4 linked regions of the Schizosaccharomyces pombe genome follow. Changing the gene in region 2 together with the main gene of any one other region gives a genetic interaction. Each region holds a gene or a part of one and is shown on either strand. Other genes may lie near its edges. The genes, in order: ste6, irc6, tim13 and SPOM_SPBC651.04.

Region 1 (6,871 bases), on a different chromosome or scaffold from region 2:
AATCGGCTTCCACATACGATGTCGTAAAGAAATTTCAGTTTTACAGCGAACTTGTAAAAGTGGTATAGCTTGCCATGTGGCCCTTTCACCTACTAGAATCCAATACTGGATGTCGCTTAATGAGGGCTTGGTAAATGCATGCTTTATGTCCGAGAAAGAAAATGTTGGAGTAAGCGTGATATACGCACTTGGAACATAATCGTCAACAAAAAATCGACGTAGTCTTGGAGGTAGAAGACCCAAAATATCCAGTTGGCGGAAACGGTAAGCCATTTCTAATCCTACTAAGCGTATCATTTTTAAGGAGTATCCTGAAACACGATGATGATGAAGTTCATCATAAAATGTAGGGAACAACGAAGGGCGAGACTGGGTAATAACAAAATGATTCACGTTGAAAATCTCAGAGATTCGTGCATAAGGATTAGAGCGACCGGTATTAGGAAGCCCAGCATACGGCCAAATAAAATTTTTGGGAGTACACACCTCGGTAGACCCATCGGGAAGTTTAGCCAAAAGAGGAGAAGAGCGGTAAATGGCAGCCCAGCTATTGCTAGAACATACGGCACTCCAGATCAGCACATTAGGGGCAGTGAAATAATTAAGAACCTGAGGGGATCCAGAAACAGCTGAAGGTGGAGCAACGATGTTAACAATACGTCCAGTACGCTCAAAAGCCTCTTGAAAGGTAATAGTACCGAGTCTTTGACGGACAAAAGATGCTATCATGGAAATGTCAAGCATATTCCCATACTCCACAACTTTTGAAAGAGAATAGTCAGATGTTTGCTGACATATTTTCCACAGTTCGCTGGGGAAAGTATCAAACAAACCATTCAATTCTTCATCACGATAGACACTCAAAAGCGATGCAATCAACGCACCTGATGCGCATCCTGCAAGGATTTGAGGAAGCAAATTACGTTTCCAAAGGGTCTTAGCTACCCCAAAGTGATATAGACCAAACGCAGTGCCGCCGTTGAAATACAAACAGGTAGTACCGAAGGAAATTCGGGCAGCGGAAAAAAAATCGCACTTAACGTCGTAGGAAAGCCTTTTAGTGTGATATAAAAACTCTAAACAATTGTTGACCTCACGTACATACTCTTCAATCAAAATTTTTGTACCCGAGTAATTCTCGGTATACAGAGAGGAATTGCCAATGTTGCCAAAGTTACGAAGTAAGCTAGAGCGCAAGAACATTAACATGGGATAGACAGATTTCCTCTGGCGGTATCGTTTTAAGGAGACCGTGCATCGATCAATCAATAGATAGTCGTACTTGTCCGAGGCAGGAGTAAAGCGCCATTTCCAACGCCCCGACGCCTTGTCAATCGTCGTAGCCAAAACTTTCCAATCCTCCCAAGAACGACAATCCTTGTTCATAACTACCTTTCCCTTTCGAGGGCCGGAACCACGCTGCTGCGATATCGACGTAGCGGAAAATAACCATTCAAAAAATGAAACCACCAGTAGCCAAATGGACGAAATATTCGCATACATAATGCGCCAGAAATTAAATAGTGCAGTCATATTAGGCAAACAATGGTAAATTCACAAATTACAATACAATTTCCAATCTTTTCTAATTTTACGTAACAAGTCTCAACAGGACCTATGGATAGAGTTATCCTTTAATTTTTGTAAGTTCCAACTAAAATCCGCTTCAAACACTTCATGAACTACTACAATATCTTTTATAATTGGAGAATTCCACCTAACAGCTCAATTCATAGAACTAGCTCAATTGAAGCTGGTTAATGGCAATTGGCACGATTACATCCGTGGGAAAAAACATTTGTTGAACTTGTCGGTGAATTCGGTGAACCCTATGTCATGGGCAGTTTATAGGTGGGCATGATGTGTATAGCGTATTAAATTGCCGTATTATATTGGTACTATAACGAAATAATTGCAATACACTATAATAAAGTGGAGTCGACTATCATGACATACGGTATTTAAATATAGCGATACATAAAATTTTTTTGCGTATTTTTACTGCCTAAAATGAATCGGTCAAGGATAGTCGCAAAAGCTTTTAAATTCACTGGTCTATTCCTTTAACAATAGTCATCAAGTTTGGATCAATAGAAAAGAATTCAACTTTTTTTTTTAGAAAAACGCTACCAGAAGGACAATCTGTTTTATTTTTCAGGAAGAACATTTTTCTTTCTGTATTTATTGAATAGCGAAGGATAGGGTTGAATAGTGAAAACAACGAAGTATTACTGTATTGCGGAATAGTCGCATACCCACAGGTTTTAGGTGAGTCCATTGTGAAAGTGATTGACAACATAGTCTAGTGAAATACTGTATGTAATATTACAGTTGCGTAGTGACAAAACGCGACGCGCCAAATTCACAGGTAATTTCTATTGTAGTAGCCCATTGTTAGTAAACAAAGAAATTCCCAAAATGGCTAATAATGGGAAAACAAGCTTTTTTTTTAAATAAACGGGTGTTTTCTTTATTTTAAAAGCAGGAAAATACTGAAATAACTTAAGAAGGTATATTTCCTCTTTTCTTTCAAAAATAAATGAATCGTGGAATTGATAGCATTCATGGACCCTTACGAAAATGAGGTTTCAAACGACCGCAATAAGTGATTATGAGAACAGCTCTAATCCTTCATTTTTAAAATTTTCTGCAGGAGACACTATCATAGTTATAGAAGTGCTCGAGGACGGTTGGTGCGACGGAATTTGCTCAGAAAAACGAGGTTGGTTCCCCACGTCGTGCATTGATTCTTCAAAAATTCAAAATTTTTTTTCAAGTTTTCATTCATCGAATGAGAAAGACCCAAATGCTCAATGTTGTGCGCCGTTTCACGTAGAGGCTCATCTTCAAGATTCTGCATGGTTTGAGAAACACGGAGTGCAAGCGATAAATAGTATCCCTTCTTCAGAAGAGTTCTTAAGAAAAAATCTTCAAAATGACATTCACCACCTTGTAAAAGGGATTCTCACCACCGCTGCCGCTGTGTCACAATCTATAAAAAAGGAAGGCACTCAAGTGATCGTTTTTGGAATTGAAACTGTTCGTAGTATGGTTCTTTCATTTCCCTTGATAATCCTTTCTACATTAGATGAAAATTTTCTCTCAGAAGTCGCGCAAGTGTTCTCCTCATTAAATTTATTGCCAGAGTTGAGCCGAATGGGTTGCACTTATGGTGAACTTTGCATCAGATTTACTAAGCTTTTGAAGCAATTGGCTAATAAGTTTTTGTTTTTCTTCAGGCCCGATGTTTCCTTCCCTTCTTACTTTTTGGGCTCTTTGATAGCGCATGAAATACATTTCTTGCCATGGGATTTTAATATGCTCTGTTCCAATTCTGTACAATCAGCACATACAAATCTCCAACCTGATATTACTTCCTTTGTTGCAATTTTGTCACTTTCACACGAAGCTTACCATTGCACTGAGAATGAATTTTGGAATTTAGAAGCACAGAAGCTAACTGAAAATACAACCCAAAAAGTACTACAGCTAGTTGCGGAAGATGCACTAGAAGCTTGGAAACTAGATATTCTAGAGGACATCGATAGATGCATTCAATGTTGTAGGCGATTCTTGTCTGCAAATCAAAGAATAAATTATTCTTCCTCTGAAAATAACCCTTTTTCTTTCACTTCTCAAGATGTTGAAGCCTTGAAGGATGAACTGTCTTCTAACTTATGTGATTTATATTTGTGGAGTATCGACTTGGAGCAAATCTCACCTAGCGATTGTTTACTGGACAATTATTCCCTTTTTGTTGATTTACTAGTAACCTTGAAAGTATCCCTTCTTCGGATCAAGTCAATAATTGTTCAATTTTCAGAAAGAATTGTGTTTCTTTCTCTAGAATACAAATTCCTCACAAATATCCAACCAGAATTGAATGATGCGGAGAAGTCCCAACTTGATGGTTTTGACCTCAATAAAACCAACTGGTTCGACTCTAAAGGATTAGTTTGTTATTTAATGAAACAGACTTCACCAGAGCCATTATTGATCCGAAACCTTTTGTTTTCATTTTGGTCATGTAATGGTAAAATTGAACAAGATGGAAAAATAAAAACAGCCACTTTAGTGTTCATTATAAATTACCTTCTAAGGACAGATATAGATAGTACATTTTTTACTACTATCTTTTTAAACACATACGCTAGTATGATCAGTTCTTCAGATTTATTTTCCATACTTGGAGCACATTTTCGGTTCATCTGCTCATTAAATTTTGGAAAAATTTCTTTTATTTCTCACGAATTTTACCGAGTTAGTAAGAGGTTTTTGGATATACTTCTTATTTGGTTCGAATCGTATCTTGTTGAAGAGTTGGACAATTCCAAGTCAATATTCTTTTTGTTTAAAATTTATAAAGTTTTTGAAGTCTTTGTAGTTCCACATTTTGCATCTGCTGAAGAATTATTGCATTCTTTATCACACCTACTTCATCATCCCTCTACAAAAAGATCACATAAAATGCTAGAGGGAAAAGAGCTATCCCAAGAATTAGAGGATCTTTCTCTCCATAATTCCCCTGATCCAATTATATATAAGGATGAATTGGTTTTACTTCTACCTCCTCGTGAAATTGCAAAGCAGTTATGTATCTTAGAGTTTCAATCATTTTCACACATATCAAGGATTCAGTTCCTAACTAAAATCTGGGACAATCTTAACAGATTCTCACCCAAAGAAAAAACTTCGACCTTTTATTTGTCGAATCATCTGGTTAACTTTGTGACCGAAACCATCGTGCAAGAAGAAGAACCTCGCAGACGTACCAATGTGCTAGCATATTTTATTCAGGTCTGTGATTATTTGAGAGAGCTTAACAATTTTGCTAGTTTATTTTCCATCATTTCTGCGTTAAATTCCTCACCCATTCATCGGCTGCGTAAGACATGGGCAAATTTGAATAGTAAAACATTGGCTAGTTTTGAGCTTCTAAACAATTTGACAGAGGCAAGGAAAAATTTCAGTAATTATAGAGATTGTCTGGAGAACTGTGTCTTGCCATGTGTCCCTTTCTTAGGTGTTTACTTCACTGATCTGACTTTCCTTAAAACTGGAAATAAAGATAACTTTCAAAACATGATCAATTTCGATAAGCGCACCAAAGTCACTAGAATTTTGAATGAGATAAAAAAGTTTCAATCTGTTGGGTACATGTTTAATCCCATCAACGAAGTTCAAGAGCTTCTTAATGAAGTTATATCGAGAGAGCGAAACACGAATAACATCTATCAAAGAAGTTTAACTGTAGAACCACGTGAATCTGAAGATCAAGCCTTACAACGCTTGCTAATTGATTCTGGCATTTTTTGAAGCGTGAACGTTAACAGTGATTTAAGTTTTTATGAGCTTGCTTCGAATTCCTTTAATATTTTCAAATCTTTTGTAGAACAATATAATCTTAAAATCATTTAATTCTGATATAGTCTGCCTCGTAAATTATCTTTCGTCCGTTTACCTCACACCTTAATATTCATAAGAAGAATGGACTGGAAAGAAGCGATTCCAGGTGCCGCCAAGGTAGCCATTGAAACCAAAGATTATATTACCTACTCAACGCTACTCGAATTGATATTGGAAGAAGCGCGAATAAAGGATATTGATGAGCAGCGAGAGTTGATTAAGTGTCTACATGAAGAATTGAAGCAAGAAAAGAATGTAAGTAAAAATATTCATGTAATTAAATATGAATTCTCCTAATAATGTTGCAATTAGGACCATATAACACGCGAAATTTCCTGGGACATTATAGGAATGGTGCTTCCATATGTTGGGAAAGTACAAAATGAGGCCGATGAGTTTGTGGACTTCTTAGCCAAAAACGGAAATCCAAGAGAGGTGTTCCTTAAATGTTGTGAACTTTTGATAAATGGAGGCTTTGAAAGTCCCCAACAATTCATATCTCTGAACAGTGCCATTTTATCAGCCTTACACCGTATATCTACAAAGCGACCAGTTCTATTTGTAAATAATTTTTTAATTTCATTGTTTTCGGGGTTAGCAAATATTTTGCAAATTGATAGCGATGAACTGTATTGTGTTTGGAAAATCTCAATATCATCTATACAAGATGCAATGCATCGCTTTCCAGTGTCAGAGTGTTATTTGGCATGTTTAAAGGCTTGCAGTATTTTAGCTCAACTCTTTTTAAGTAAAGAAACATTGATGCTTTCTTTCCGTTCGCTGCTTCAAACAAAAGATCAGTATGCAGAGTTTCGTGAAGAACTAAGTGGCGCTACGACTAATTGTGACAAGTTGGATACCCTTTCAAAATCCATAATAAACATCTTCGATTATCTTTTGTCCCATCTTCCAGAGAGCTGGAGTATCATTACTGAGCACATGGCTCAGGAGCTGACAAAAGCTACATATGTAAGTCAGTCATCCTCTATTTCCTCAGAAGACGAAGAAATAGCCAAAAATGCTGATGTTCCTGCTGAAGTTGATAACAATTCTACTAAGGCTGATGATAAGCGGGATGAAATTGAATTTGACACGAAAGGATGTCTTGCTTTATTAACAATTAAATCGTTCTATCAAAGCGGAAACTTCTTTCTGGATTTTTTGAAAGAAAAATTTCCCTCTACTATCCTTGAAACTTTGCAGCAATTGGTCTCTTGGGAGATTCAATTGGATAGTGTTGGTTTCAAAGATATTGCTGTGTATCAAGGATATTTGTTGGATTTACCTCATTTCCAGGTTCCCGACTCCGAACTCGAGCATCTCTCCAGTTTGCTCCATGGATATCATTTTATGGCTTCTTCGACAGAACTTCCTTGGCTGCGTGTTACATGCAATGCTATAGTCACAAAATGTCTGGATTCTCAGTTACCAAGTGTCCGTCTTTCCTACATACTTGATACTTTGG
Region 2 (4,333 bases):
TTGAGTCTGATGACCATTTACATAGGGAGAAGAAGATCCGTATGCTGGTTGCGGAGTTTTGCCTAAACCATAGGAACTAACGGAAGTCGAAGTGGGAGGATAAAAAACTTGATGATAAACAGTACTTGGCGAGGGCAATTCCATTGGAGAAGGCATGTCGCTAGCGGCAAATAAATGCTGAACAGAATTTTGGTCTTTAAGTAAATTTGAATACATACTCTGCTGAAAGTGATTATTCAACACAGGTTTATTAGTTAACATGTTGTTTTGAGAAACAACTCTTGGAAAAGAAGCAGATGGATTTTTTGGATCCAATCCAAGGTAAGCAAAAGGATCGAAACTGTTATTATCATGCGATAAACGAGAATTGCTGCTTTGAATGGGGGGATTAAGAGGAAGGTTCGACACAGGAGGAAGTTGAATTGGAGATTTAGGTTCATTTCCTTCATTTAATAAATGCAAGATTTTCTGTTTAATGTCAAAAGAAGAATGTGATTCAACTGGTGGCTGAGGAAAAGTTGAAGGTTGCGGAGTAGCAAGGTCTGAAGGTGCTGTCGAAGATTTCAAAAGAGAAAGCAGTTGGGAAGAAGCATCAGCATCAACATCAACGGAAATGTTCTTTTCTTTGGTAGTGTTATTGGCAATATTCCTCTTCTTAATCCATTTCTTCAATGGCGCCAAAAATGGGATTACCATGTAAAATTTGTTTTTCATGGTCTGAGGTTTATTTTTTTTGAATGTAGGAAGATCCATAAGATTATGCCATTCAATTTTACTAATTTCTTTTCTTGTACGAGATTCAAATCTTGTATCCAAAGATATTCCAGGAATAATATACAATCGAACGTTTTGTCCACGTATAGTCATATCAATAAATTCATTAGGATTTATACGGCTAGAACAGTCAAAGCCTGTTTCTTCATATACTTCACGAATAGCACAATCAACATCAGATTCATCTTTATCAATTTTTCCCTTAGGAAATCCCCAGCCGGATGATGCTTTCCATCCTTTGACAAGTACGCATTGCTGCATTGACATATCAAGCATTATAGCTCCGCGGACAGGAATACGAGTCTTATATCGTAAAAAATCATCAAACGCCTCTTCATGGACCTTACTCCACTTCCACAATAAAGGACAGTGAGCAAAAAGCTTTGCACTAAAAACACGCAAACCTAGTGATGGCAACTGATCGTTTTGCGCACGTATAAAATCTTCATAAAACCAATGAGCTTGTTCGATTTGAAAACAAAGTCGTTCAACGCTACTTTGCTCCTCTGCTGGTAAATTCAAGATAAATCTAGCTGATAAATCATCCAGCACTTGCGAAAACGTGGCATTTGTGAACGACATATTTCTTTTAATATATAGTAGTCTATTGTTTGCATTTAAAATTCTAAGTCACTCCAAAGCACGACAAATTCGTCAACTTTAATTTTTGTGCGTCTTGGTATTTAAAGCCATTTATGCGTGTGCGTATAACACAGAGTTAGGGACACGTAAAATTACGTACCAACCTTCGTTAGTGATAAACTAAACCATTATTGATTTAGGAATGTATCACACTGCGCTATACTATTGCTCAATCCTTGTTTCATTAAACTGTTAGACTGTAGTTAAAATCACAATTTGCCTTACCTTTAGGTCTTTCGAGAATTTATTTATCCACCAAAAACTTGTTTAATATTCTACAGAACTGATTGAAAATATAAAAAAGCGAATTAATTTTTGCTAAGTACATAAAATCATATGCGAGTTATTTTGGTTATAGGTCGCTCTAATTCTGGAAAGCTAGATTTTATTAAGGGTAAATATTAGTGTTCTATTTGCAATTACTAATTGAAAAGCTTTGACGGGTTCTTTACCGAAGGGGTTAGATGACGAGGCATTTAACAATGATCATTCTGGCTTGATTCATAAGTATAATATCAGAAATAAATATTTTGAAGCTTCGGTTGGTATTTGGATTGAAGAATATTCTAATTTAGCTGAAACTTTGGATGCTTATAGTTCTGAAGAAGCGAAGGAAGTTATTGATAGCTTAGGTGCCATTGTATATACTTTTCGAAGTTTTGATGAAGCTGAGTGGTCTCTTTTTAAAAATTTTATAGATAAACTACAGCTAGAGATTCCGGTAATTGGGTTGCACATGTCAGATGAAAAATTACTAGAACCACCTGATGTGTTTACCCCAGAATATATTTCTATCAGCGAGGAAGGAGTGAATGAATTCAATGGTAAAGTCAACCAATCTTCTATTTATTAACAAGTCTCTTTAGAGAAAGTAGGACTGGACCGTGTTCGAGAAATTCTCGATTGCTGCGAATGGAACTTGTCACAAGTTGATAAAAGTTTCTCGGAAGAAAAGGATGATGCCGGAGATTTCTATCTCCCGGAACGATTCAAAGGAAGTCCAGACATGCAATCGACGGATCTGGATAATTTGATGAAAGAAATGAACCAAATTAGAGGTTGGTAACTCCTTGAGTCGACTAAACTAACAACGAAATTTAGATGCTGACCTGGAAAAAAATGAGAAAAAGGCCAAGGCTTTAAATCTTTTAGAAAAATTGTTAGGCGATGAATTCGAGGAAAATGATTATGAATCGCTGTAGAAACAAGGCCTTTGTTCGTATCCGGAGAATACATGTTGTCGCTGGAGCACAAATTGATGTATAATAACTATTTGAGTTTGCAAGAAAGGTTCAATTAAGTTTTATCAAAGTATTTTTTACTAAAATCTAAATCTGCTGTATTGAAAGAGGACCTATTAGCAACTTAAAAAAAATTCGTAAGTAAAGCTCAGTCACAAATTGTGATAATTTTGGTCGTATTTCATTATTATAGACATTATAAATCCAACACAATGGACTACATTTTCAATGTACAAGGTTCGTCAATAAAATAATTCCCACATGGCATTTTTCGTATTTAAATAACGGCCACAGTCATTCACTAGACATTTTGACTGAGATCGTTTACTGGTTTTCAAAACTTTTGCACAAGAGCCACAATAGACGTGACCACACTTTGTTGCCCATAATGCAGATTTCTCTTTGCTTTTGGATGTTCCTAATGGTTCCTGACATCTTGGACAAACCATCAATGTATCATTGTTAAAGCTTCTAGTAAATCCAGATTTTGGAGGGCCTGGAGGCTTGTAAGACTGTTTTATATTTTCTAAAGAAGAAGTAAAATCATCATATGATTCTTCAAAATGGTTAGAGAAATATTCGTCGTCTGAACCGTTAGTCCATTCTGGATGTATAGCGTCAAATCTCATTCGGTTCACAATCAACTGGAAAAGAGAAGGGGATAAGGAATTAACAGAACTAAACTCAGGAAATGTCCTGGCAATCATTCCCATCAAATCTCGACGTGAAGAAGAACGACGAGTGGACACCTGAGGACCTAAGTAAATCATGTCTTCCAAATACGATAAATGATTTGAAGGAAAGTTACGAGACCGTTCATTCCTTCTCCGGTTCATACGCCTTCTTCGAGGACTTAGAACAGGAGATGATGGAAAGCTGTCATCAGGAATAGCATCCAAATCAATGATATTTGTTGAAGAAATAGAAGTTTCGACTGGTGGAGAAGGTGATCTCGTCAAATCAATTACACTGCTTTCATCTATTCCATTGCTTCCATTAAATTGCATTGATGTGTGAAAAAAGATACACAATTGTTTCCTGTCAAGTAATTGACAACGGGCAAAAAATTAAGTCGATTTATTTGTATATATTTTGGCCTTGCATATATTAACGAAACGGTATTATTTAATATAAAGCTCTAATGTATTGCTGTATATCAAAATACCGCAGACCAACAGTTCGGTGCATTTTTAAGGCAATGTCCAGTATGCTTTATTATTTATAAACTAATGGCTAGTAAAGAAACGTAAATTAGAAGTCGCATTTCTTTGTTTACACATTATCTTTATAAAAAGGAAATGACCTTATGTGATAATTTACTGAGAAGATCAAACGCCAAAGAAGATATGGCGAATAGAGGAATTTTACGAGCTTAATTTAGCAAGAAGAACCAAAAAAATATGCCTCTAGTAGACGATATGGATTTTTTATTAAAGCACAGAAAATGAATTTAAAATACTAGACGATATTTGATAGTACAATTGTTGAAGAATTAGGATTGTATTTATTAAATCCGCTAGATTCTGAAGTTAAACTTTCACAAATGAGTAATTGGAACATCAGCGCTTGAATATCAAGTTCCTGTCTTGAATTTTTTTGAGTATAAATATGATAAATCAAATAATGGATAACACTGCTTTTAGACCAGCATCAAAAGCGAGCGACATTAACAAAGA
Region 3 (4,778 bases), 2.0 Mb from region 2:
GCTTACGTGACTTGCAAAAGATCCGTCAACAAAAGGCTGAAGATGCTGAGCAGCGTAAGAAAATCCTCGCAGAAATTGAACGCGATAAAAAACGACGAGCTGCAGAACGGGAAAATAAGAATTCTTCTGTAAAAGAAACGGCTGCTCCCATCAAGCAGCCTAAAAATGCCAATTCGTCTTCTACTTGTACTCGCACCCCTCCTACATCAGGCAGATTTTCTATCCGACACGATGGTCAAGTTTGTAATATAACTATTGCAGCTGAGGAGACGCTACGCCAATTGGCACAACAGGTCGCTGAGAAAATGAACGTGTCACCGCCAACTAAGTTTACCACTACCTTTCCCCGTGCCTCATACGGCACTGATGTATTTGATAAACCGGTTAACCAACTTGGTAAGTATCAAACTAGTGTTTACTGTCATCATGTGTGACATTAGAATACATGTTTTTGAAAGAATATTGTGTTGCTACTAGCATCTAAACGACATATCTTTGTTTCCTCTGAAAACTTTGAACTATAGACATGGAATATATTATTAACGCTTGCATAGATTTGTTTCCCTCAGCCGTTCTTATTCCGCAATGGTAAAGTTATGACCTTTTGATAATTATGCTGTGTTAATAATGATTACGATACTTGATAAACTGGTAGAAGATATATATATCAAGGAAGATGGTGCTGAACGCGCCAAGTATCCAAGGCAGGTTAGCATATGTGTAGTTTAAGTAATCGGAGGCGGGAAATACGAGAATGCTGAAAGCGTATGAAGTGTTTCCTACAGAGGCCAACACAAAAAAGATAATGGATAATCCTTCGGTAGACTTTGCTTTGTGATTCTTGATGATTTGAGGAATACGAGCACAGAAGTATAACACAGAACTGATACAACCGGCAGTAAACGGCCATGCATTCAAGTCATCATCACTCTTGTCAGAAGAGGCACTAGAAATAATTAAGTTTCCAACGATTGTCGAGACAATAACCACACATCCCATTACACCAAATTGTTGACGGGTAGAAAGGCGATCCCACCAAATTTGTTGTTTACCAATGGGTGCATGAAGACCTTCTTCTAATGAACGACTTTGGAGTAAGGGTTCGTGTTCACGACTGGCAATACGACGGGCAGCTTTCCAACGATAGTAGTAAATTTGCATAAGTAGGGTACTGTCAGAGACAATGTAATAAAATGAGAGAACCAATACAGTAGAAGAGACATTTCCGTAAATGGAACCAAGTACATTGAAGAAATCGCCAATAAGCCAGATGATTAAAAATAAATCAGAGATACTTTCACCAGACTGGTTTTTATAATTTTCAAGTAATTGAGGGATCAGTAAAACGACCCAACATCCCAGGGATAATGCTCCTAAAAATGAAGACAACTCCGTGAGTATGTTAGCCATATCAAAAGAAGGAGCTATCACAGACATGGGACAAAAATGCTTGCGAACAGATAATTTTAAAATGAATTTGAGAAGAGCTTGTCTAAGCTTTTTATGGTCAAAGTTTTTTATATGAGTGTGGAGGACAATAAATAAAAAGAACGGGAAACAAAGGGCTACAAAAGCGAAGCAACCTGAAAGGGAAATCAAACTATTAATTTAATAGGAATGATAAGCAATTATTAAAATTTGTCAACTTCCTCGAACGTGTAATGCTTCAGCACTATAATATTCGCTGATTTATTTTAGCGATCCAAGAGATGATACTTAATGAAAATTCGTTACAAGTATTTTTTTTTGTTTTAAAAAATAAACACTAAAAGGAATATCTATAATAATAATAATAACAATGGTAAACAATATTTCTCCCACTGTAAAGAAACAGAAGAGATTTGGTGGTGAGTTTGGCTCTGGATAAGATCAACCTCCCAGCCGTCCTGTTATTTATTTACCTCGGGCAAGGCTATATAGAGATTTCAAGATAAGAAAAATTTGCCGCCCATGCAGTTTCGCAGAATTAAGAAAGTGTCCGTGGATTTACAGATACAATTGATAGTCAATCCAAAGGTATCATTCTAAAGAAATATAAAGGAATAGTAAGCGAAATAGATTTTCCTTCGAATAATCCTATTTCACTTAACAATATAATTCTCAATGTAAATAACAGTCGCATTAATTTTATCAATGTCAAGCTAACTCGTTTTTGTTATAAAATTTAATACACCATAATATCGCTAGCAGTATTAAACATTGAAATGTTTACGTGACTTGTTTGATTCTCAGATTATTTGCAGTAAAAGATGTGCTAATTCCATGATTTAATTTCGAGACTATAAAACTCTATAAAAATTTCTTACAAATTGGGATTTTTATTTTTTTTTCTAAACAAGGGTAATGAAAAGTCATGAACGATTCATTTCGTATATTAAAATATTAAAAATAATAATAATAAAAAAACGCTGAAAAAACTTTTATTTCTAAACTCACCAAAAGGACCCGAATAGTATATCTATCCATTAGTTTAGAAATATTTTATTAAATCTTTTTTTTTTATACCAAGTAGAAAACAAAACAAAGATTGCTGTCTGGTTGTATCGCATATGTCAGCATATTAGAAAATCCATTTTCTATTAACGAAGTCTAATTGGTGATGATGGCCGGTTTCTGAATTAGTCTCCCTAAGTACACCGTTTGGTACTTTCCACGAACGTACCATTTCCTCATTAATTTTCCTTGTAAAGGAGTAAAAATTATCCACATTCATAAGTTTTAACGTTATACTTAAACAAAATGGGCATTTTCGGTGGAAATAGTGGAAATGCACCTTCTTCTGAAGACAAAAAATCCATTTTCATGAAACAAATTCGTCAGGAACTTGCTGTTGCTCAAGCTGGCGAATTGATAAGTGTATGCTCCATTCATTTTTTATGTTTTATTGAATGTTTTAACTAATCGGTTTATCTAGAAAATCAATGAGAACTGTTTTGATAAATGTATCCCGGAGCCTGGTTCCACATTCGATCCCAATGAAAAGGTATGAGAACTATTAAAATACTTTTATTCTAACTAGACAAAAGTCTTGCGTTTCCAAATGTATGGAACGCTATATGGATGCTTGGAACATTGTTTCTCGAACCTATATCTCTCGTATGCAACGAGAGCAGAAAAATCTCAACTGAATAATAATGATTTTTTTTTCTATCATTTTGTTTTACTCTCCTATGATATGTGTCTTGTTGTATAGTTGTGAAGTGACGGCAAAGCTTAATATGCAACGTAGAAATTTTTCTTTTCAACGTAGCTCACGCGCTTTCTCTCTAATAATTATAAACTTTCAGCAATTAAAATTCGTTTCATGTTCTTTTCCTAATCATGCTAAACACTTACAAGTGTTGTTATACTACTGGGTAAAATACTTATAATTGTTTCTTTGACATGTAGCATTTAAGTATTATTGTGTAAATAACAGTTTAAATATTTTCATAATAAAGAACGATCACCGGAAAAACTAGAAAAACTAGAGATTCATTAAATTTCCTTATTCTTATCATTTACCTTGATTCTTTTGTTTTTGTTTAACTGATTCAACAAACTCCTTAACATTTAACTGACACACCACTTCACTGCAAAGTTGTTTTCGGTTACCCTTGGGTACGTTTGATAAGATCTCTAATCCGCTTGCTCGTTCCACAACCTCAACGGGAACTGCAAAGTTCTTTAACGGAAAGTTGTCAGCAATAGGTTTGTTGGGAAGAACGAATGCAGCTACTGATGGACTTGAGGTAGGCTCTCCTGATTTTTCTGCAATGATTACTTTAAAAAAATGAGTAGGAACTGCGACGTTGGGAGGATTGCCAATTACTCGATACTGAACTTCCCATTGTCCACGTTCATTTTTTTTAGGTAAATACAGCGGTCCCGTCATTATGGTAACTGAGCCGTATTTACTTGTAAGGCGTCGACACCAATCTTCAAAGTATGCCCAATCTAATTGTTATAGTTAGTAACTAGTCAAATTTATTAATGTATTAAAAGAAAAAGTCTCGTTAAGTTTTTGCTTACAGTTTCTATTGAAACCATCTCCCACTTGTGGACACATATTAGAAAGATAGAAAGTTTCGTTCATTGCTTCCTGACTAAATTTACAATCTGCTGCAGGTACTTGATGACCACGATCATAACCGCTTCCTCTGTAATCTCCTAACTTTGCTTGAAACATTTCAGGAATATTATCATCTGGAACGAACTCAGAGTACCTGCGATTGCCTTTGCGTTGGTTCAACGATTCTTGTGTAATGGTTTCCGCTGTCTAGTTTATTATTAATATAATGCACTCCGAGAGACCAGAAATTTAAACATTTAATCTATTGCCGTGATCTATAATTCCTAGGTAAAGAAAGCTTAGGAAACGGTGTTTTTGCTTACATAGAATGGATTTCGTGTTCTCCGATCGAACACAGACATATAGCCATGGTTTACCCTTTGGTCTGCCACTGGTCCTGGTATGCCGTATTGAAAAAATTTGGTGGCATTAAAATCATATATAGATTCTAAGGCTCGACCAGCAGAGTCAAATTTGGTATACCTGGGTGTCAAGTCTGGTACATCGGATCCTTGATATCCTTTATAATAAAAATGCGTGAAAGTTACACCCGAGATCGCTCCAATTGCTATTAATCCAAAAGATTTGATAAGATTACTAGACATATCGTCGATTGGGAATTAAAAGAAGTGGGAGTGTAGGTAAAGAGAAGATTGGAATATTCACTGCGTGTGAGTTTTTAAATAATTGGGAGTTATCGTTATGGCCAAGAAGAATATTAAAAATA
Region 4 (6,175 bases), on a different chromosome or scaffold from region 2:
GTTGATTTACGTTAATAGACGCCGGAAGTTTGCACAAATAGCTATGCAATAAATCAGCACCAGAATTATCCCATAAAAGCTCAATAATGGAAGTACGGTTATCAAGCACAACCTGAGCACACGTGTACACGACGGTAAGAGGATGAGAAGAGATGAAGAAGTCAAATAACCTGCATACCACCGAAATGTCTGAAACATCGTGTGCAAACCAAGTGATTAACCATGAAAGAGCAAAATAACACTGGATATCTGCCTTTATTAAATACTCATAAAGAGTGGGATCGCGAGCCTTGATAACTGCTAAAATTAGCTGCAATTGTTTCACCGTGCCATCAAGGGTAGGAAGCATAAAGTCCCGAAGACGGTAAAATACTAGATGCTCCATTAAAGGGAGAGCATGAGAGAAAGGAAGGGTAAGAAGCAAGATCTGGGCAATATCATGAAGACCTTGATAGTAGCATAGTTCCGGATAATGCTTAAAGACTACACTGAGCAGCTTGGTCAATTGAGAACGGTGTTTACGAAGTAGAAATGGATTCAACTTGTACTGAAAGAATGATCGTTCCGAATCCAAATGAACCTGATTCTGGTCGGCATAAGAAGACTGAGAAGTAGATCTCGAAAGACACTCCATTCGATGTCGACACGATAAACCACAAAGACTGACCCATACAGACTTGCGCAGACTCTTCATGAGGAAGCCATGTCCTTCTTTGCCAATGTGGGAAAGTGTTTCGACATCAGAGTTCAATAATGCAATTTTGATTTCATTTTTTAGTTGTTTTATCTCCTTCTTCTTCATCTCATGAGCGAAATCGCCACTTCCCTTAAGGGAGAAATATTTGAAGAAGAATATTTTTGAAATTTTGAACTGAAAACTAAATCACACTTTGCTTAGGAATCCTGAAATCCTTTAATCTCAGGCCTTTACTTTTTCATAAATAGCTAAATTTTTCTTTAATAAAATATCTCGTTTGGCATCTAAAACACCGTTTTATAAAGGATCAAAAAAGTTGGGCGCAGTTAGTGGTCTGTGGGTTGATGTACGTACCCACTTAAATGGGAAAAAAAAAATCAGAAGATGAAAAGGAACACAATGAACAACTGCGCCGAACACCCTCTCGACAACCTTAATAAAAGAAGATCTTTAACAACTTTAAAAAGAAAGAAAGAAAGTAAATTTAAAATTTTATAAAAATTCTTAAACGAAGCATTTTTACGGTTTTTTTTTTTTTTTCGAATATCGTTAGTATTATTACTATACCATCTCCTTATGAAATTTTTTTTTGCTAGTTAATATATGATGGCGAAGTAAAGTAGAAGGGCTTTTATAAATAGCTGTAAAGTTCAACAGCATGTGTGTCAACTCATAAGGAGAGACTTCCATCAAATCAAACAAGAAGAACTTTCTTTATTTCTTCTCTTTTCTTCTTTTCTTTTTTTCAAATTAAGGAAAGAATATCAGTATGCACTGCCGAAATCGTTATGTTACTATTAGATGGTGGATTGTACAAATAATAAAATTAATATCCGTATGAATATTTGACAAATGAAACAGTTCCCTGCTGTAGATCCTGCGGGTTTGTTTAGCTGTCATTGTAAAACGATTGCGGATAAATCTTCTTTACTTTCCCACCAAATAATGCTATATCCAAAGTATCAAAAGTTTTGTGCGGGTAAGTCGTTAAAATAACACCATTCCTCCAAAAAAATAAATAAATATAATATAAAAAATAAAACGAACCCCTTCAAACGAGGGAGAATACTCTCCTGAAGATGAACGAATTTTGAAAAATTTTTCTTATTTTTTAATTAAAATCTATTTAATGGTATTTGCTGAAAACTCGATTTGACCCCAAGCAAATGTTGAGACATTCATGTAAAAGAAATTATTACGAAAAAGAAAAAAATAAGCGATGACTTAAAACCATCAGTAATGAATCCACATGTTAAAGTAGCGAATACTTAAGCTTGATAAAAAGAATACCTAATTCTAATATAATCCTAGTAGGAAATATTAATATAAATTTTTGAGGTGGCTCTTTTATTGAAGTATCGCTTCATTTTGTATTAGTTAAAATAGGCAATACATCAATCTATTTAGCTTTTAGATTAAAACTACATATTGTTATATTTCAAAAATCCGTGCTTAATTCAGTTGGGCTTACTATAATATTAAACAGATAGTTTCTGGATTTATTTTGAGTGGAATGGCTTGTTTCAGATAGAAAGGATATGATTTGAGAAGTGTGAAGTTAAGAATTTACTGCTTTTGTCTTAAAAAGCATACTCAAACTTGCTGAAACATATTTAGGTCTGTATTCATGATGAATCTTAGTTTTCCCAATTTATTTCTCATCATCTACCAGCTAAACCCAGCAATCTGAGTGAAAAGGTATCTTCATTAAAAACCTATAATCGTGAAAATCATATTGGAATGTTCTAACATTTATCAAACAACATCCTTTCTGTTTACAGCGAGGTTTCTTGTGTTGATTTTGCTACTTTAGATAAGTCAGATCAAGGTAACATATTTGTGGGTCAGCGATCTGATAACTACAGATGGCTGGTATTCGAATTTTCGTTTGGATTAGCAAATTTGCTGCTTAGACCTATCTTTCCTCTTACCGCCTCTCCGTATACATTGTACATCCCATCTTTCATCGAAAGCTTTTGAGTATATAGACAGGCAAAGAGCTTTGAATGAGTTCCGCTGAACTCGGAAAGCTACATATTTATGCCTCTCCTGAACAATGGGAGAAGTGGAGTCCCCGTTGGAAAAGTATCGTTTTTCGAACGCAATATGAATCGATTTTCAAAAATCCGAAACACCATGGGGAGAAAAAACCTTTTCATTGCCTCTTCAAACTCGCTGGAACTATGAAGAGTATCTCTTTATCGCATTTGGATATTCCAGAGCATCGCATGAGCAATGCAGTAGCTTTTCCTATCACTACTTCTACAACCCCTATGCAATTAGATGTCACCTTACAATTTCGTGGGCACAAAATTCCTCTTGTAGTCGGAGAAGCTAGTGTTTCCTTGGAAGATATTTTCACTCATGGAACTGTTGAAAGCGTAATACCTTTATTTATGAAAAAAAGGCATCCCGAGGCATATCTTAGGATCAAACTCGTTTATACGAGGAGTAAAAGAAAGAGCGCCAGGAAACACAAAGTTCCTTCTTCCTTTCATCGATTTTCTGGTCGACGTGGTCTTGGTATACATTACAACCATTCTGGTTCTCAGAGCAGCTTAATAACTTTACCTTTACCTCAAAAGCAGCCTGATTTTTTACGTATGAATAACGATACTAATGAGCTAAAAACAAATGGGTTTGAGCCTATTCGGTTTGTATTTACCACTACTCCTTATTCACCTGCTTCCTTTGAGGTACCAAAGACCCTTAAAACTTAAAAAATGATTGTTTTCTTCCAAGGAATTTCCCTTACTAATTAATTTTGTTTCCATTTTCCAAGGTCCATACAACTTTGCGTCTTGCTGTTTAATATGACCTCCGATTCTATTCTATTTTATTATATTATTATTATTCTTAAATTATTGTTGTGTTGTTTATCACTACTTCCCGTTATTTCGAGCTCTTCTCTTCTTCTTCTCCTTCTTATACCTGTACATATTATCTTTTCCAGTTTCATACTTTATGTCTCTCCTTTTTTCGGTTTTCGTGCTTCAGTTTCTTTTACTTCTTAATTCTTCTAAACCCAAACTTTTTTCTCAAACATATATACATATATATATATATTACATATTACGTTTTCTTCATCGAATTCAAAGTTTTATTCTTCATTAGTTTGACTTTTATCACAGCGTTACTAGATGCTTTTACGAATTAATATATAGACTGGCAAAATTAAGCGTAGGGTTGACTATCTATGAACGGTTGTAAACAAGCAGGTCAACCTCCCCCAAAATTCTAGGTAGTCTTGATAAAAAGGCATTAGAAATTTTCGTATAAAAACCTTTGCGCCTGGTCGTCGATAAGATTGCTTGCACCCCAATAGGCCATCTCCACCCCCTGGGAGTCAATCCAGAGTAATGATTTTGAAACTAAATCATTCTAAATTATTTGGTTAGTCGCAAATGTTTTGAGATATTTTTATAATTTAACTGCGTACCAATACTTGAATGCATCTGCTACGCTCCCAAGCGTAATTGTCCCGTAAAATAGATATTGTTACATAGCCCAATATCTCTACAGCCTCTAAAACAACATTTTGGTCGGTGTTGAGCTCTAAAGGAAGGGACCGGATATACTGTTTACCTGCAATTTTTTCAAGAACAAAGCCAGGGCCAAGTGGGGCCAAACTATCGACAGCTCGAACAACGTCAGTCTCTCTTAACCATTCATGACCAAAGGCTTCATTTTCTTCATTTAAAAAACGACAAACTTGGCTGACCGATAAGAGGCCTCCATTCTCCATTTGAGTAGCATAACAGACTTCGATTACTCGTACAGCGACCTGATAATAGAATTCGTTCATGCCCACGGCCGCCCAAGCTGACTCATCAGAACCACTAACAAATGGATCTAAACCAATTTTCAAAGCTAACTTAACAAATGTATTTCGAAATTGAGAGTTTTGTTTTATCTCAGTGGCATGTTCTCTCGCAAACGTCTTCAGCGCTTCCTGAAACGTCGAGAGTTGAGATGCAATTTCATCGGACTGCTGTTCAATAAGTTCATTTCCTACTTCTTCATACTGTTTTAGATATTCATCGTCGTTCAAAGCTCCAATTCCAATTCTTTTACGCATCGGCCCAACCGAACATTGCTTGTTTCAAGCGCACAATCTTTATGATCGAGGCTTTTAATTAACAAGTAATTTCGAAAAAATATCAACAACAACGTAATTGACCAGTTTCTACAATTATTCGCGAATAATAGTCCTCTTCCAAGATCACAGGAGTTGTGTAGAAGAGCAATAACAACCTGCTTAGGAGAATAAACCATCCATTAATTATAACAATAGTAAACTAACTAGCTCATGAAAAGAATGTAACTAACAGGAGCGTTACATTTCATTATCTAGTATACCAAGTTATTTCCTGCTATATTAGTAAACTATCTTAAATTAGAATATCGTATAGCAGCGCATATTCAGTTTTTTAACGCACTTAACTGGACTTCCTTATAAAGTTGTTTATCACATTGTTTAGCTGCGGTATTTTCTTGATTATAGACTGGTACCACCACCAATAGTGACTAAGTGTAGGCCAGAGATTATTTGGTGCTAAAACCAACTACTTCTTGGGACTCTGCGAGGCTCGAGTAATTTCAATCGTTTTTTTTTATTTACTCACATTCAGGGTGCTTTGAAGATGCCAAGGAGAGCTGTACTTTTCCGTGGCAATTCATTCATTTCGTTTTCGTCAATTTCCTCAGGAAACGAGAGTAGCGCCCATGGGGATGCTTCACTTGGACAAGCAGATAAACCCTTAACTGTCGACGTTTTAGATGCTTGGACCACTCAATTCACAAAAAAGCAGACCAGGGTCTTTCATGAGGCATATGTAAGCGCTTATATCGATTTGCAACAAAAATACGCTCGACTTGAACGACTTCAGGAGCAGATCCTTAATTTGGAAAGATCGCTGTTAAATTATAAATCTTTAAAAAGTAACTCTACCACAACGGTGGCGACAGTTCCCTCCGAAAAACGATATTTCTTCCGCCGCAAACCAAAAACTTCTTCAACTACTAATTCTCTCTCTTCTTCTTCTTCTAGTGTCTCGCATATGAATCAAGATGCTAACCCCAATAGCACCGTATTGACCTTTACTGCTGTTCCTTACGATTCTTGTTTACCTGCACCAGACCGACACACTCCCTCTAGTGCATCGTCTAGGGCGAGTGAAACGGGTACCACAAGCCCACAAAGTATGAGGAACCAAATTAGCCTTCTTTACTCAAAAGTCGATCAAGTCAAAACTGAAATTGCTTCGGCACAAGCTGTTATGCATGATTTGTTGCGCACTTATCCTGGCAGTGAAAGTTTGCAACAATCTACTCATACTCAATTTTGATGCCCCTACACAAACAAAAACTCTCTCTATTTTTAGTTTTCTGTTTTATCTGCGTTTTCTCTTGAAATGAATATTTTTTGTTAAGTTGTATTTTAGAGAATTCGATTATCGATGGATGTCCATTGATGAA

Evidence for each region.
Region 1: mutations in irc6 (region 2) and ste6 together harm fitness more than expected from each alone (negative genetic interaction), as found in Schizosaccharomyces pombe (one large-scale study listed by BioGRID).
Region 3: mutations in irc6 (region 2) and tim13 together harm fitness less than expected from each alone (positive genetic interaction), as found in Schizosaccharomyces pombe (one large-scale study listed by BioGRID).
Region 4: mutations in irc6 (region 2) and SPOM_SPBC651.04 together harm fitness more than expected from each alone (negative genetic interaction), as found in Schizosaccharomyces pombe (one large-scale study listed by BioGRID).

Annotation. Positions count from the first base shown.
Region 1 is NC_003421.2:1,763,506-1,770,376, forward strand, and holds ste6 (RasGEF Ste6), read left to right. Parts: upstream 1-2,580; coding exon 2,581-5,316; 3' UTR 5,317-5,466; downstream 5,467-6,871. Other genes in the region: triacylglycerol lipase Ptl1, read right to left, coding at 18-1,533; ubiquitin-protein transferase inhibitor Glm2, read left to right, coding at 5,488-5,661, 5,719-6,871.
Region 2 is NC_003424.3:2,463,596-2,467,928, forward strand, and holds irc6 (recombination protein Irc6), read left to right. Parts: upstream 1-1,629; 5' UTR 1,630-1,752; coding exon 1,753-1,810; exon of another isoform or gene 1,811-1,850; coding exon 1,851-2,240; exon of another isoform or gene 2,241-2,282; coding exon 2,283-2,474; exon of another isoform or gene 2,475-2,517; coding exon 2,518-2,618; 3' UTR 2,619-2,899; coding exon of another isoform or gene 2,900-3,664; 3' UTR 3,665-3,833; downstream 3,834-4,333. Other genes in the region: mRNA-decapping complex catalytic subunit Dcp2, read right to left, coding at 1-1,356; SUMO-targeted ubiquitin-protein ligase subunit Rfp1, read right to left, coding at 2,900-3,664.
Region 3 is NC_003424.3:4,481,339-4,486,116, forward strand, and holds tim13 (TIM22 inner membrane protein import complex subunit Tim13), read left to right. Parts: upstream 1-2,652; 5' UTR 2,653-2,739; coding exon 2,740-2,856; intron 2,857-2,914; coding exon 2,915-2,983; intron 2,984-3,026; coding exon 3,027-3,128; 3' UTR 3,129-3,319; downstream 3,320-4,778. Other genes in the region: SPOM_SPAC17C9.11C (zf-C2H2 type zinc finger protein/UBA domain protein), read left to right, coding at 1-396, 555-592; G-protein-coupled receptor Stm1, read right to left, coding at 622-1,437; endodeoxyribonuclease Pnu1, read right to left, coding at 3,497-3,936, 4,012-4,258, 4,375-4,656. UniProt on the Schizosaccharomyces pombe protein: Mitochondrial intermembrane chaperone that participates in the import and insertion of some multi-pass transmembrane proteins into the mitochondrial inner membrane.
Region 4 is NC_003423.3:1,242,144-1,248,318, forward strand, and holds SPOM_SPBC651.04 (uncharacterized protein), read left to right. Parts: upstream 1-2,626; 5' UTR 2,627-2,703; coding exon 2,704-3,417; 3' UTR 3,418-3,958; coding exon of another isoform or gene 3,959-4,078; 3' UTR 4,079-4,136; coding exon of another isoform or gene 4,137-4,775; 3' UTR 4,776-5,011; downstream 5,012-6,175. Other genes in the region: GTPase-activating protein Gyp10, read right to left, coding at 1-802; ESCRT II complex subunit Dot2, read right to left, coding at 3,959-4,078, 4,137-4,775; protein mug166, read left to right, coding at 5,341-6,045.